Linked DNA regions of Anolis sagrei. The protein of the gene in region 1 purifies or fractionates together with the protein of each later gene. This does not show direct contact. Links are inferred from orthologs where the notes say so. Each region holds a gene or a part of one and is shown on either strand. Other genes may lie near its edges.

Region 1 (7,445 bases):
TCCCCCCGATGGCGCAGGGGGTTAAATTGGTGGTTCAAATCTGGGGAGCAGGGTGAGCTCTCGCTGTTAACCCCAGCTTCTGCCAACACAGCAGTTTGAAAACATTCAAATATAATTAGATCAATAGTTACCACTCCAGCAGGAAGGTAACAGCGTTCCACGCAGTAATGCCAGCCACATGATCTAGGAGGTGTCTATGGACAACGCCAGCTCTTTGGCTTAGAAATGGAGATGAGCATCACCCCCCAGAGTCTGACATGACTAGACTTAATGTCAAGGGGAAACCTTTACCTTTACCTTGGTGGCTCAAAGTGCACCACCGAACAAGGCAAGAAGCTCTGCCTGTTTAACTAGGGCCCCTTCCGCACAGATGAATAAAATCCCACATTATCTCTTTAACAGATTCTTCTCTGCCAAGGAAACAAAATGTTATTAATTGAAGGTGTGAATGTCTGCCTTGATATTCTGGGTCCTAGGAGGCAAAAAAAAATTGTTGCGACACATGCTACTTCAGCTGCGTCTAAGCTACTGCCTAGTTTGGGTTGAAAACGCAAATATAGGGAAGAAGCTCTCAATTGTAGGGCCTTAGGACACTAGGATTTGGGTTAATTCATGGCTGCCTTCTACACCAAAACCATAACGCCATACAGTATCCAGAGTTTTCCTTATCCACGCTCCAAAAAAAAAAAACAAAAAAAAAACTCCCCTCCTCCAGAGGTCTTTATAGTCCTCCCTATATCTACACTGTAGAATTAATACAATCTGAGACCACTTTGACTGCCGGGATCAATGCTATGGAACCCTGGAAGTAATAGTTTGGTGAGGCACCAGCACCATTTGGAAGAAAAAGTGAAAGATCTCGTAAAACTACAACTCAAAAAATTCCATAGTGTTGAGACATGGCCGTTAAAATGATGTCAAATTATATTAATTACAGATGCACCCGAGGTAATAATGACAGCTCTATACAAGGTACAGTAAAAGCTTCAAAAAGCAAATTAGCACAGACCTTTAGCCTTCTCAGTAAATGGATATAATGAATATAGGCTGTGTATTGCCGAAGGCTTTCATGGCCGGAATCACTGGGTTTCTGTGGGTTTCTCGGGCTGTATGGCCATGTTCCAGAAGCATTCTCTCCTGATGTTTCACCTGCATCTATGGCAGGCATCCGCACAGGTTGTGAAGGAGAATGCTGGTGCTCATGACAGCATCCAATACCTAGAGGTTGAATTCAAAAAGGTCACAACCTCTGAGGATGTTTGCCACAGATGTAGGCGAAATGTCAGGAGAGAATGCTTCTGGAACATGACCATACAGCCTGGAAAGTTCACAGCAACCCAATATAGGCTGTCCTAATGCATACATAATTTGGATATACAGAATGATAGAATCATCGGATAGAATGATAGAATCGGATAGAATAGGCGAAACATCAGGAGAGAATGCTTCTGGAACATGACCATACAGCCTGGAAAGCTCACAGCAACCCAACATAGGCTGTCCTAATGCATACATAATTTGGATACAAAGAATCATAGAGTTGGGAGAGACCTCATGGGCCATCCAGTCCAACCCACTGCCAAGAAGTAGGAAAATTGCATTGAAAGCACCCCCGACAGATGGCCATCCAGCCTCTGTTTAAAAGTTTCCAAAGAAGGAGCCTCCACCACACTCCAGGGCAGAGAGTTCCACTGCTGAATGGATCTCACAGTCAGGAAGTTCATACATATGACTAAAGAGATTTTTTTCCCTTTCTGCTGGAAAACTGCAGACTCCCTTAACCAGTGTTTCTCAACCTGGGGGTCGGGACCCCTGAGTGGGTCATGAAGGGGTGTCAGAGGGGTCACCAAAGACTATTTTCTGATGGTCATGGGGATTCCATATAGGAAGTTTGAGCCAATTTTATCGTTGGTGGAGTTCAGAATGTTCTTTGATTGTAATGAACTATAAATCCCAGCAACTACAACTCCCAAAAGTCAAGGTCTATTTTCCCCAGGTTCCACCAGTGTTCACATTTGTGCATTTTGAGTATTTGTGCCAAGTTTGGTCCAGATCCATTATTGTTTGAGTCCACAGTGCTCTCTGGATGTAGGTGAACTACAACTCCCAAACTCAAGGTCAATACCCACCAAACCCTTCCAGTGTTTTCCGTTGGTCATGGCAGTTCTGTGTGGCAAATTAGGTTCAAATCCATCGCTGGTGGAGTTCAGAATGCTCTTTGATTACAGGTGAACTATAAATCTCAGCAACTACAACTCCCAAATTACAAAATTAATCCTCCCCCGACCCCACTAGCATTTACATGTGGGTGCATAGGGTATTTGTGCCCAGTTTGCTCCAGTGAATGACAATACATCCTGCATATCTGATATTTACATTATGATTTAGAACAATAGTAAAATGACTGTTACGAAGTAGCAACAAAAACAATGTTATGGTTGGGGGTCACCACAACAGGAGGGACTGTATTCAGGGGTCACGGCATTAGGAAGGTTGAGAACCACTGCTCTAAACAAAGTCTGCAGGAGCCCCTTGAGAACAAGTTGGCCATGCCACTCCCACTCCCTCTTAAAAGGGCGCGGCCCCTTTAAATCAGCAAACTTTCCCCTCGGCTCCTCTCAGTCTGCCAGGATTGGCTTAGAAGGGCTACCCACAGATAGCCGCCGCTTCGGAAGCTCCCTATTGATTAGCAGCGAGGTGTCCATCAAAAGGGACTCCGAATTCCCATTGGCTCTCGCGGGCTTAAGACCGCCTTCTCGGAATCATAGCCCCGCCCACTTCCAATTCTCCCTGGTTGAGGGGTGATATCGCAACTGAGAACACAGGCGAGTGGGCTAAAACAAAAGGGGGGGGGGGTTGGGGTCTGGCCAATGTTGGGGAGCTTACCGATGCGCTGCCCGACCGGACTGCTGAAAGGGTTGCCCAATAAGAAGTCCATCGCGCCGCCGACGCTGCTGCCACAGCTTCGGCTGAGAGGTCAGCTGACGCGGGGGCGAGAGGGCGTCACGTGGACTCCTCGGGACCGAGTGGGGGGCGTGGCTTCGGCTCTTAACCCCGCCCCTCCTACATAGTGGCCCCGCCCGTGGCGTCAGCGCTCGCCACGCCCCCTTCCAAGCTGGGCTTAAAGGGCCAGGCTGATGTTCCCGGGGGAAACGGGAATGGCATGTTCCTCGGAAGTTGCTTCACCGTTAGGATGATCGAGGCCCACCCCAGAAGGTGTTTTATGACGGCAGCAATGGATGACCACTCTGGCGTCATCAAGGCTAGTGCTAGCTGCTGGGAAAAGGCTGATTCAGAAGGCACGGGTCTCTCCCAAGAAAGGTTTGCTTGGGATAGAATCAGAGTTGGAAGAGACCTCGTGGGCCCCTGATGTTGGACTTCTTCAGGCTAAACATGTCCAGCTCATTAAGCCGCTCCTCATGGGGCTTGTGCTCTGTCCCAACGGATCTCCCTCTACGCCCCACCTGGGAGTCTAAGATCTTCTGGGGAGGCCCTGCTCTCGACCCCGCCTCTATCACAAGTTAGGCTGGTGGGGACGAGGAGCAGGGCCTTCTCGATAGTGGCCCCCCCACCTGTGGAAATCACTCCCCGGGGAGATTAGATTAGCGACTTCCCTTTTCTCATTCAGAAAAAAATTGAAGACCTGGATGTGGGACCAGGCTTTTGGACATTCTGGCAGCTAAAGGAAAGACCTTGATGATGGGCAGGTATTGACGTAACGGAATGGATTTATGGAACTCTGAACATGAGATTGTTTACTATTGTGTTATGTATTGATGTTTTTAATCTGTTAACTGTTTAATTGCTTTTATGTATTATGTATTTTTGACATAGGCATGGAATTGTGCCTTCTTTTGTAAGCCGCCCTGAGTCCCCCCTTGGGGGTGAGAAGGGCGGGGTATAAGTAGCTAAAAAAAAATTAAATAAATAAATAGACCAGTGGTTCTCAACCTGGGGTCCCCAGATGTTTTTGGCCTTCAACTCCCAGAAATCCTAACAGCTGGTAAACTGGCTGGGATTTCTGGGAGTTGTAAGCCAAAAACATCTGGGGACCCACAGGTTGAGAACCACTGCTCTAGACCCTTTTAGTCATCCTCCTCTGGACAAGAAGCAGGAAAATCGCATTCAAAGCACAGCCACCCAGCCTCACTACTTCTGAGGATGCTTGCCATAGATGCAGGCGAAACGTCAGGAGAGAATGCCTCTAGAACATGGCCATATAGCCCGAAAAAACCTACAACAACCCAGTGATTCCGGCCATGAAAGCCTCCAACAATATATCCAGCCTCTCTTTAAAAGCCTCCAAAGAAGGCGCCTCCACCACACTCTGGGGCAGAGAGTTCCACTGCTGAACAGCTCTCACAGTTAGGAAGTTCTTCCTCATGTTCAGGTGGAATTTCCTTTCCTGTTGTTTGAAGCCATTGTTCTGCATCCTAGTCTCCAGGGCAGCAGAAAACAAGCTTGCTCCCTCCTCCCTATGACTTCCCCTCACATATTTTATTTATATATGGCCCTCATCATGTCTCCTGGAGACCCCGGTGGCGCAATGGGATAAATCCTTGTGCCGGCAAAACTGTAAGACAGGTTGGAGGTTCGAATCCGGGGGGAGCACGGATAAGCTCCCTATGTCAGCTCCAGCTCCCCATGTGGGGACATGAGAGAAGCTTCCTACAAGGATAGTAAAACATCAAAACATCTGGGGCAACATCCTTGCAGATGGCCTTCCGGTTGGCAGTGATCTATTGCTGCTGGCAATTCAGCAGCTGTGTTACAGCCAGGCTCCAGTCTTTCTGGTTTTTGGACCAGCTGACATTTCAGAACACACTTCAAAGGCAGCTTCACAGATAGTGTGCTGCACAGCCTCATCATATTGAGAAGCATAAGCATGGGTGACCGTCCCTTTAAGGGAGGGAATCGCTCCCTTGGTAGTTCTGCCTCCCCATCAGACTCACAAGTGAAAACTTAAAGAGCTGTCAATACATTCATCTTGCATTAATCACAAGGTCAATATGACTTCTTTTTTAAATCAGGAGATACAATAGCATCCAAAAACCAAGAGATCCTTTGACCTGCCCCTTACATTAAAGAATACTGACACCAGTTTAAAACCAGTTCTTTCCATGGGAGCCAATGGTTCTGCCTCAAACCCCAGAGGAGACAAGAGACAGTGCTCCAGGTTAAAACCATTCCTTTCCATGGGATCCTATGGTTCTGCACCAAACCTCATATGATACAACAGACTGCTGACAGTTGGGCAATGAAACAGGATGGGAAACTTTTGATGATTCCCATCCTACCTGTTTTTCAGTTGTAAAGATGGGAGTAAAGTGCTACATGATTACTGGCCCGTGTTCAGAGTTCCCTCCTTTCAGGACATTTCTGCCTCTTTTCAGCCTGGAACATGTGAGGAGATCCATGCCTCTCCATGCTTGAAAAGAGGCTGAAGTGTCCTATCGGGGGAAATTTCTCAACGTGATGAGCTTGATTGCCAGAGTTCCCTCCTTTCAGGACACTTCTGCCTCTATTCAATCAGGAGGACTATGCATGACAGCCAGAAGTAGTTCTATGCTTGAAAAGAGGCTGAAGTGCCCTAGTAAAGGTTTCCCCTAACATTAAGTCTAGTTGTGTCTGACTCGGGGGGTGGTGGTGGTGGTGGTGTTCATCTCCATTTTTACGTCGAAGAGCCAGTGTTGTCTGTAGACACCTCCTAGGTCATGTGGCCAGCATGACTGCATGGAGCGCCATTACCTTCCCACAGAAGCGTTAATTATTGATATACTCATATTTGCATGTATTTAAACTGCTAGGTAAGTATTGAAAAAATGAAAAAAAAATGAAAAAAGAGAAAAAAACCTGCTAGGTTAGCAGAAGCTGGGCCTAACAGCAAGAGCTCACTTGCTCCCCAGAATTTGAACCAACAACCTTTCGGTCAGCCTAGTGGGCCCTACGACTGGGAAATTTCTCAATGTGTCAGTGCCTCTCTATGCTTGAAAAGAGGTGGAAGTGTCCTAACTGGGAAATTTCTCAATGTGATAAGGTGGACAGTTATCCAAACTGGATTATTTTGAAAAAAGCCCAATATGTTTCAGCCTCCCCCATCCCCATATATATTCCAGCTGAAACATGTTGGGACGGATGAATAGCTGGAAGATAGACACACATATAAGAAAATGACATCACTGTCAACTGAGGATTTCTCTCAGACAGTGCCACCACTGTGGTCAAATGTGGGAGTCTTTACACTTTCTCCACCAAATATGAAGTCTTCCAGTGTTTGTTGCTAACAGTGTGATCCCTCCCTCTGCCAACACATAAGGACTTCTGCCTGTCCCCAACTGTGAGATCAGTCTACATGCCCTCAGAGATCCTGAGGATTAATGCTACTTTTATCCCCTATGAGACACCATTCTTCCACCTTCAGTGCTGCTGCCACAAACAATTTATCTGAAACCCAGCCCTCAAGGTTTATTTCAAAGGCCAAAACTTTATTGACAGACCTTTAACATAAAACAGTAGATTATTTGGATAAAATAATCCACCTTCCACAAATCAACATTGAAACCCCTCTCCTTAAAATGAATCAGATCCTTACTAATCACTCAACACATCCACCTTAGTCTCTCAAAGTCCTCTTGGACACATTTCTCTATATACTATTCTCAAACACCAGGCACAAGCTAAGCTCTTCACACTACTCCAACAGGAAAAATACCCCTTCCCAAACCTTCCACAAATCAACATTCACTTCAGCATTCCCAGTCTTCTCCCTCAATGGTGACATACCTCATACTCACACAATAAATCAAACAACCACCTTATATACAGACCCATGTCACCACTGGAGGTTATCTAATTCAGGATCTTGAAATACTGCATTTTGCAGCATCACTCAACTGAGAAATAGCACACATGTTTGTTTTGTCATACTTTGCCAGATATGGACCCAAGTCTCCAGGAAAAAACAAGGATTCTGACTATGATGTTTTTTGAATCTTGATGTGGCCCACTTTTTGCTGTCTCTGCTGTGAGTGGCTACTGATTAAAACCCTGAAGTCTTATGTGAGAATTACACACAAATCCAATTACAATTAATGAGTTTACACAGCAACCGTTCCTGGAGCTCACACCACTTAGCTATAATCTAAAGACAGTAATGAAATGAATGAAACAGATGGTTATGGACTAATAAAAGTACATTCCTACTGAGGAACATAAACAGAAACTATGTAGGTGGACAAAAAAGGACAGGGATGTTGTCATAATGAATGGCAGAGTAACCGGTCTCTGTTCAAATGTTGTAGCTTAATTTTTTTTCACAGAATGGAAACCTGAAACAATTCATGATGCAAGTTTGTTTGTGTTTTTTTTTAAAAAAAGTTTATATACATTAGCAAAACATTTATACAACATGATTTGGACTATGTGGTTAAGAAATAACCAGTATA
Region 2 (7,953 bases), on another chromosome or scaffold:
AATTGGCCGTCTGCAAGGACGGTGCCCAGGGGACACCCGGATGATTTGATGTTTTTATCATCCTTGTGGGAGGCTTATCTCATGTCCCCGCTTGGGGAGCTGGAGCTGACAGAGGGAGCTCATCCACCTCTCCCCGGATTCGAACCTGCGACCTGTTGGTCTTCAGTCCTGCCGACACAGGGGTTTAACCCACTGAGCCACCAGGGGCTCAGAACTCCCATGATCAACAGAAAATACTGGATGGGTTTGGTGGGCATTGACCTTGAGTTTGGGAATTGTAGTTCACTTCCATCCAGAGAGCACTGTGGATTCAAACAATGATGGATCTGCCCCATCTTGGCACAAATACTCAAGATGCCCAAATGTGAACACTGGTGGGGTTTGGGGGAAATACACCTTGACATTTGGGAGTTGTAGTTTGCTGGGATTTATAGTTCATCTACAACAAAGAACATCCTGAACTCTACCAATGATGGAATTGGGCCAAACTTCCCACAGAGAACCCCCATGACCAACATAAAATATTGTGCTTCCTGATGGCCTTTGATGATCCTTCACGACTCTCCAGGCTTCAAGACTATTCAATGCTAACCATGGTGATCAATTGCAACATTCTACTTGCCTCAAACAGACAAGAGTTCATTCTCCCACCTCCCAACAAAGGATTCCCCCAGGCAGAAAGCGGCCAGGCTTTGAAGCTGCAAGGCTATACAATGCTAATCAAGGTGATCAATTACAACATTCCCACTTGCCCCAAAAGAGTTCTGGATTGTCAATTTTTCAGGCTGTATGGCCATGTTCCAGAAGCATTCTCTCCTGACATTTCGCCTGCATCTATGGCAGGCATCCTCAGAGGTTGTGAGATCCTCACAACCTATAAGGATGCCTGCTACAGATGCAGGTGAAACATCAGGAGAGAATGCTTCTGGAACATGGCCATACAGCCCAAAAAACTTATAACAACCCGGTGATTCCAGCCATGAAAGTTTTACAGACAAGAGTTCTTTCTCCCACCTCCCAACAAAGGATTCCCACAGGCAGGAAGCAGCCAGGCTTTGAAGCTGGAAGGCTATACAATGCTAATCAAGGTGATCAATTACAACATTCCCACTTGCCCCAAAAGAGTTCTGGGTTGTAAATTTTCAGGCTGTATGGCCATGTTCCAGAAGCATTCTCTCCTGACATTTTGCCTGCATCTATGGCAGGCATCCTCAGAGGTTGTAAGGATGACTGCTATAGATGCAGGCGAAGCATCAGGAGAGAACGCTTCTGGAACATGGCCATACAGCCCGAAAAACTTACAACAACCCGGTGATTCCGGCCATGAAAGCTTTACAGACAAGAGTTCTGTCTCCCACCTCCCAACAAAGGATTCCTCCAGCTGCAAGGATATTCAGTGCTAATCATGGTGATCAACTGCAACATTCCCACTTGCCTAAACAGACAAGAGTTCTTTCTCCCACCTCCCAACAAAGAATTTCCCCCGGCAAGAAGCAGCCAGGCTTTGAAGCTGCAAGGCTATTCAGTGCTAATCAAGGTGATCAACTGCAACATTCCCACTTGCCTCGAACAGACAAGAGTTCTTTCTCCCATCTCCCTACAAAGGATTGTCCCAGGCAGGAAGCAGCCAGGCTTTGAAGCTGCAAGGCTATTCAGTGCTAATCAAGGCGGCCCACTGCAACATTCCCACTTGCCTCAAACAGACAAAAGAGTTCTTTCTCCCATCTCCCTACAAAGGATTCTCCCAGGCTGGAAGCAGCCAGGCTTTGAAGCTGCAAGGCTATTCAGTGCCAATCAAGTTGACTGATTACAACATTCCCACTTGCCTCCAACAGATAAGTGTTCTTTTTCCCACCCTGGACATCTAAACTTCCCTTGCCTCGTTTCCATCTGACCTCACAACCTCTGAGGATGCCTGCCATAGAGGTGTGCGAAACGTCAGGAGAGAATGCTTCTGGAACATGGCAAGACAGCCTGGAAAGCTCACCGCAACCCAGTGATCCTTGCCACAAAAGCCTTCGACAACACAATAAATTGTGGGTTGTTGTAGGTTTTTTCAGGCTATATGGCCATGTTCTAGAGGCATTCTCTCCTGACGTTTCGCCTGCACCTATGGCAAGCATCCTCAGAGGTAGTGAGGTCTGCTGGAAGTAGGAAAGTGGGTTTATATATCTGTGGAATGACCAGGGTGGGAGAAAGAACTCTTGTCTGCTGGAGCTAGAATAAATACACAATAAATACTTTGACGGATAATTAATCACATTTTCCCCCTATTTACTAAGCATGGCTTCCCAACTGGAGGAGGAGGAAGAGGAGGAGGAGGGAAGGGGAAGTCCTGCTTGCCTTCCCTCCCAGTGGAAAGGTTCAGGGAATGTGTGATCCCAGAGGGATCCAAGAAAGAGCCCACCTCCACCTACCTTTCTCCCCTCCACACGCCCCTCTCCCCTTGAATATCCCACCAGAGCAGTTATGTGGGGTGCTGGGAATGAAGGGGGTCCTCCCCACTGCTTCCAAAGAGGAAAGGGAAGCCAACAGGCGCCTTGGAAAACAACCAAGGAGAGAGGAAGGGGGGGGGAGGACGTAGGAAGCCACACAAAGGGAAGCGGATAAGGTGAAATAATTCGGGGCACCCCCCCCACCCCCACCCCCACCCCCAAATCAAAACAAACAAATCCCCAGATCCAACGCTTAACCCGAGGCGGGTAGAAGATAACACAAGGCTTAGAGGCTGATCTCTTTGGAGGAGAGAAAGGCTTGCAGATGGCTCTGCGAGGAAGACCCGCCCGCCCTGGCATGCTTCCTCCCTTTTCCCTTTCCTCCCTCGCCCTTCTTTACCTCCTTTCGGGGTGCTGTCTCTCCTTTGAGGGGGTGCTGGAAGAGCCCACTTTCTCAGGGATCCAGCGCAAACCCTCCAAGGCGGAGAAGGGCTGAGGCCAGGCAGGATCTGGGCTCCAGGCTCTGCTCCTGCTCTTCTCCCCCTTCCTTCCCCTTCCCCTTCCCTTCTCAAAGCACAGCCCTAGTGGCCAATCCCTTGAACTGCACCTGGAACACACCCCTCCCTACAGGAAGGAAGGAAGGCTATGGGCCACCAGTGGCATCGAATCAGAGAATCCTAGAGTTGGAAGGAGGAAAGCAAAAGGAAACAGTGAAAAGGGGAGATATGCCCAGTTACATGCGCAATTCCAGAGGTTAGCCAGAAGAGATAAGGAACTATTTCTAAATAAGCAATGCATGGAAGTAGAAGAAGATTTTGGCCTGCATCAATAGGAGCCTAGTGTCTAGATCTAAGGAAGTAATGCTACCCCTCTATTCTGCTTTGGTTAGACCACATCTGGAATACTGTGTCCAATTCTGGGCATCACAATTCAAGAGGGATATTGACAAGCTGGAATGTGTCCAGAGGAGGGCGACTAAAATGATCAAGGGTCTGGAGAACAAGCCCTATGAGGAGCGGCTTAAGGAACTGAGCATGTTTAGCCTGAAGAAGAGAAGGCTGAGAGGAGATATGATAGCCATGTATAAATATGTGAGAGGAAGCCACAGGGAGGAGGGAGCAAGCTTGTTTTCTGCTTCCTTGGAGACTAGGACGCGGAACAATGGCTTCAAACTACAAGAGAGGAGATTCCATCTGAACATGAGGAAGAACTTCCTGACTGTGAGAGCTGTTCAGCATTGGAACTCTCTGCCCCGGAGTGTGGTGGAGGCTCCTTCTTTGGAAGCTTTTAAACAGAGGCTGGATGGCCATCTGTCAGGGGTGATCTAAATGCAATATTCCTGCTTCTTGGCAGAATGGGTTTGGACTGGATGGCCCATGAGGTCTCTTCCAACTCTATAATTCTGTGATTCTACAGAGGTGACCCTAGGTAATTTTCTACAGTAAGCAAACAGTATTTTGGCGCCCCCCCCCCCCCCACAACCAATCATTGATATATATTTTCTATTCATCGTGGGAGTTTATTTATTTATTTATTTACTTTGCTTCTATACCGCTGTTCTCAGCCCGGGGGCGACTCACAGCGGTGTACAACATAGCAAGAACAAAATTCAAGACACAGTATAAAAAACACAATTCACAATCCAGCATTATACAAAACATCGTCGTTACTACGAAAGCCATTCAGCGTCGTCTCATAGTCCTAATCACAATCCAGTATCATTTTCCGTTGTTCCATTCCTATTATCATTACCAATCATTGCACTTCTTGTTCAAACGCCTTCTTGAACAACCAAGTCTTTAATTTTCTGCGGAATATCATCAAGGATGGAGCCAGTATAATGTCCACAGGAAGGGTGTTCTGCAGCCGAGGAGCCACCACCGAGAAGGCCCTATCTCTCGTCCCCGCCAGCCGTGTTTGTGAAGCAGGCGGGATCGAGAGCAGGGCCTCCCCGGAAAATCTCAAAGTCCTGGTGGGCTCATAGGTCGAGGTGCGGTCGGATAGGTATCTTGGGCCGGAACCGTTTAAGGCTTTATAGGCCAACGCCAGCACCTTGAATTGATCCCGGTAGGAAATCGGCAGCCAGTGGAGCTGGTACAACAAGGGTGTTGTATGCTCCCTGCGTCCCGCTCCTGTTAGTATCATGGCTGCCGCACGTTGGACCAATTGAAGCTTCCGGGCCGTCTTCAAAGGCAACCCCACGCAGAGAGCGTTGCAGTAGTCTAAACGGGATGTAACCAGAGCATGGACTACTGTGGCCAAGTCAGACTTCCCAAGGCACGGGCGCAGCTGGCGCACGAGCCTAAGCTGTGCGAATGCTCCCCTGGTCACCGCCGGGTTCTGTGTGCCATATTTGGTTCAATTCCATCATTGGTGGAGTTCAGAATGCTCTTTGATTGTAGGTGAACTATACATCCCAGTAACTATACTTGCCGCACTTGCTCCCTTGCCTGGCCCGCTTTGGGTCCGGAGGCGTGCCTGAAGACCCCAGCGTGTGCACCAAAAGTCACCTCTTCTCCTGACTTTCTCCTCAGCCATTGGGACCAAGAGAGAGAGAGAGAGAGAGAGAGGTGGAGATGCCCACCTTTCCTGAAGGTAGGTGCAAAAACAAAGGAGGGAGCGGAGGTGGGAGATACCTCCAGCCGGAGGGTCTCTCTCTCTCTCTTGGTCCCAATGGCTGAAGAGAAAGTCAGGAGAAGAGGCGACTTTTGGTGCGCACGCTGGGGTCTTCAGACACGCCTCCAGACCCGAAGCAGGCCAGGCATGGAGGCTCCACCCCTTGGCCCACCTGCGGATTGGGGAGAGGAGAGGAGGCGGGTGGAACGCCGGGGGATCAGGAAAGGGAACCGGTCATGGGGAAGGGATCGAACGCGGAGAATGATTGAGCATCGGCTCTGCTCGCGCGCCCGGTGGCCAGGCGGAGCAGGAACAAGAGGGGCTAGGCGAGGCCCAAGGGCCCGGCCCCTTTGGGAAGAGGATCGCCCGGCAGTGAGACAAGAAAGCCAAGGCTCCCCCCAGACTGCTAGGGCTGTTGTGAGCTGAGGGGGCACTCCTCAAGTGGCGGTCGAGGGGCATTTACAGAGGCACCTCTGCACCCCTGGCAAAAAAGTGTTCTGCGACCGCTTACTTCGCATAATGGATGAGCCGCCCCTGGCTGGGTGTGGTCCAACCAATATTCCAGGTGTGGTCCAACCAAGGCGGAATTGACTTCCCTGGATCTAGACACTATGCTCCTCTTAATGCAGGCCAAAATCCCATTGGCTTTTTTTGCCACCACATCACATTGTTGGCTCATGTTGTCCACGATGACTCCAAGATCTTTTTCACACGTACTGCTCTTGAGCCAGGCGTCACCCATTCTGTATCTTTGCATTTCATTTTTTCTGCCAAAGTGGAGTATCTTGCATTTGTCACTGTTGAACTTCATTTTGTTAGTTTTGGCCTATCTCTCTAATCTGTCAAGATCGTTTTGAATCCTGCTCCTGTCCTCTGGACTATTGGCTATCCCTCCCAATTTGGTGTCGTCTGCAAACTTGATGATCCTGCCTTCTAACCTTTCATCTAAGTCATTAATAAAGATGTTGAACAGGACCGGGCCCAGGATCGAACCCTGCGGCACTCCACTTGTCACTTCTTTCCAAGATGAAGAGGAAGCATTAGTGAGCACTCTCTGTGTTCGTCCACTTAACCAATTACAGATCCACCTCACCGTAGTTTTGCCTAGCCCACATTGGACTAGTTTCCTTGCCAGAAGGTCATGGGGGACCTTGTCGAAGGCCTTACTGAAATCCAGGTACGCTACATCCACGGCATTCCCCGCATCTACCCAGCTTGTAGCTCTATCGAAGAAAGAGATCAGATGAGTCTGGCATGACTTGTTTTTGATAAATCCATGTTGACTATTAGCGATGAGTGCATTTGTTTCTAAGTGTTTGCAGACCGCTTCCTTAACAATCTTTTCCAGAATCTTGCCCGGTATCGACGTGAGGCTGACCGGACATTGGTAGTTGTTTGGGTCGTCCTTTTTTCCCTTCTTGAAGGTTGGGACCACATTGGCCCTCCTTCAATCTGCTGGAACTTCTCCCGTTCTCCAAGAACTCTCAAAGATGGTTGCCAATGGTTCCGAAATGACTTCCGCTAGTTCCTTCAATACTCTGGGGTGTAGTTGATCTGGCCCTGGGGACTTGAACTCATTAAGAGCGGCCAGGTATTCCTGGATGACTTCTTTCCCAATTTGGGGTTGGATGTCCTCCAATCCCTCATCCACTAAAACATGTCTGTGTTTTAGATGGATTAGGGATCAGCTGGTTTTCCCTTTAATAGGCAGTAAGAGCACCTAAAGCTTGAAACCGAGTGTGTTGCTGTGAGTTTCCCGGGCTGGGAGAATTGGCCTTCTGCAGAGACGTTGCCCAGGGAACACCCGGATGTGTTACCATCCTATGGGAGGCTTCTCTCATTTCCGCATGAGAAGCTGGAGCTGACAGACTTGAACTGCCCAGATTTGAACTGCCAACCATTCAGTTGTGCACCTGGGCCTTTTTCTATGGAAAGCATCCCCTTGGCTCTTGACAATGGGGGAATCTCACCGCTACATTTTCCCCACTGCTCCATTCAGGTATGAGCCAGCTATAGCTTTTCTCCAGCTGTTGGAGAGTGGAGACTTCTGCCATTGTAGTGCGGTAGCTAATAAAGCCTGTGCTGGTATTTTTAGCATCCATTAGCACGCTTTGCAAAGTTACATCCATACATGGAAAGAAATCCCTTCTGTCAGAAGTCTCTGGGTATTCTTAACATTTGCAAAATATATTCCCTCCTTTCCTACAACACACTTTGCATGAGCTTTGTGAACGACATTGTTTCAGTTTTCTTAAAACACACACACAAATGTATATACAGATACAATCTATATTACTTCACACACACAAAATAACTAACATTAATCATTAATCTACCCTATGGCTGATCTTGCAGATCGAAAAGTCGGCAGTTCGAATCCTGGGAGCAGGATGAGCTCCTCCTGTCAGCCCCAGCTTCTCCCAAAGTGACCAATTTCAGGTGGAATCAGGTGTCAAACAGGGATGTGTTATTGCCCCAACCTTATTTTCCATCTTCATCGCTACAATACTCCATCTTGTTGATGGGAAGCTTCCCACCAGAGTGGAAATAATCTATCGGACAGATGGCAAGCTATTTAACCTCAGCAGACTGAAAGCCAAAACCAAGGTTACAACAACATCTGTTATAGAACTCCAGTATGCTGATGACAACGTCATCTGTGCCCATTCAGAAGAAGACCTACAAGCCACTCTAAACACCTTTGCAGAAGCATACGAGAAGCTTGGCCTGTCATTGAACATTGAGAAAACCAAAGTGGTCTTCCAGCAGTCACCGGCCAACCCCTCTCCAATGCCAGAAATACAGCTTCGTGGTGTAACATTAGAAAATGTTGACCATTTCCGCTACCTTGGCAGCCACCTCTCCACCAAAGTCAACATTGACACCGAAATTCAACACCGCC

Evidence for each region. Proteins that work in one complex are often made in the same cells at the same time.
Region 2: the proteins of TOM1 (region 1) and CUEDC1 purify together in Homo sapiens (co-immunoprecipitation; 3 studies listed by BioGRID and IntAct, with this or other methods). This does not show direct contact. The link is inferred for Anolis sagrei from reciprocal best matches to the Homo sapiens genes TOM1 and CUEDC1.

The regions. Positions count from the first base shown.
Region 1 is NC_090025.1:167,402,511-167,409,955, forward strand, and holds the start of TOM1 (target of Myb1 membrane trafficking protein), read right to left. Parts: upstream 3,023-7,445; 5' UTR 2,939-3,022; coding exon 2,887-2,938; intron 1-2,886.
Region 2 is NC_090031.1:19,588,262-19,596,214, reverse strand, and holds the start of CUEDC1 (CUE domain-containing protein 1), read right to left. Parts: upstream 3,018-7,953; 5' UTR 2,836-3,017; intron 1-2,835.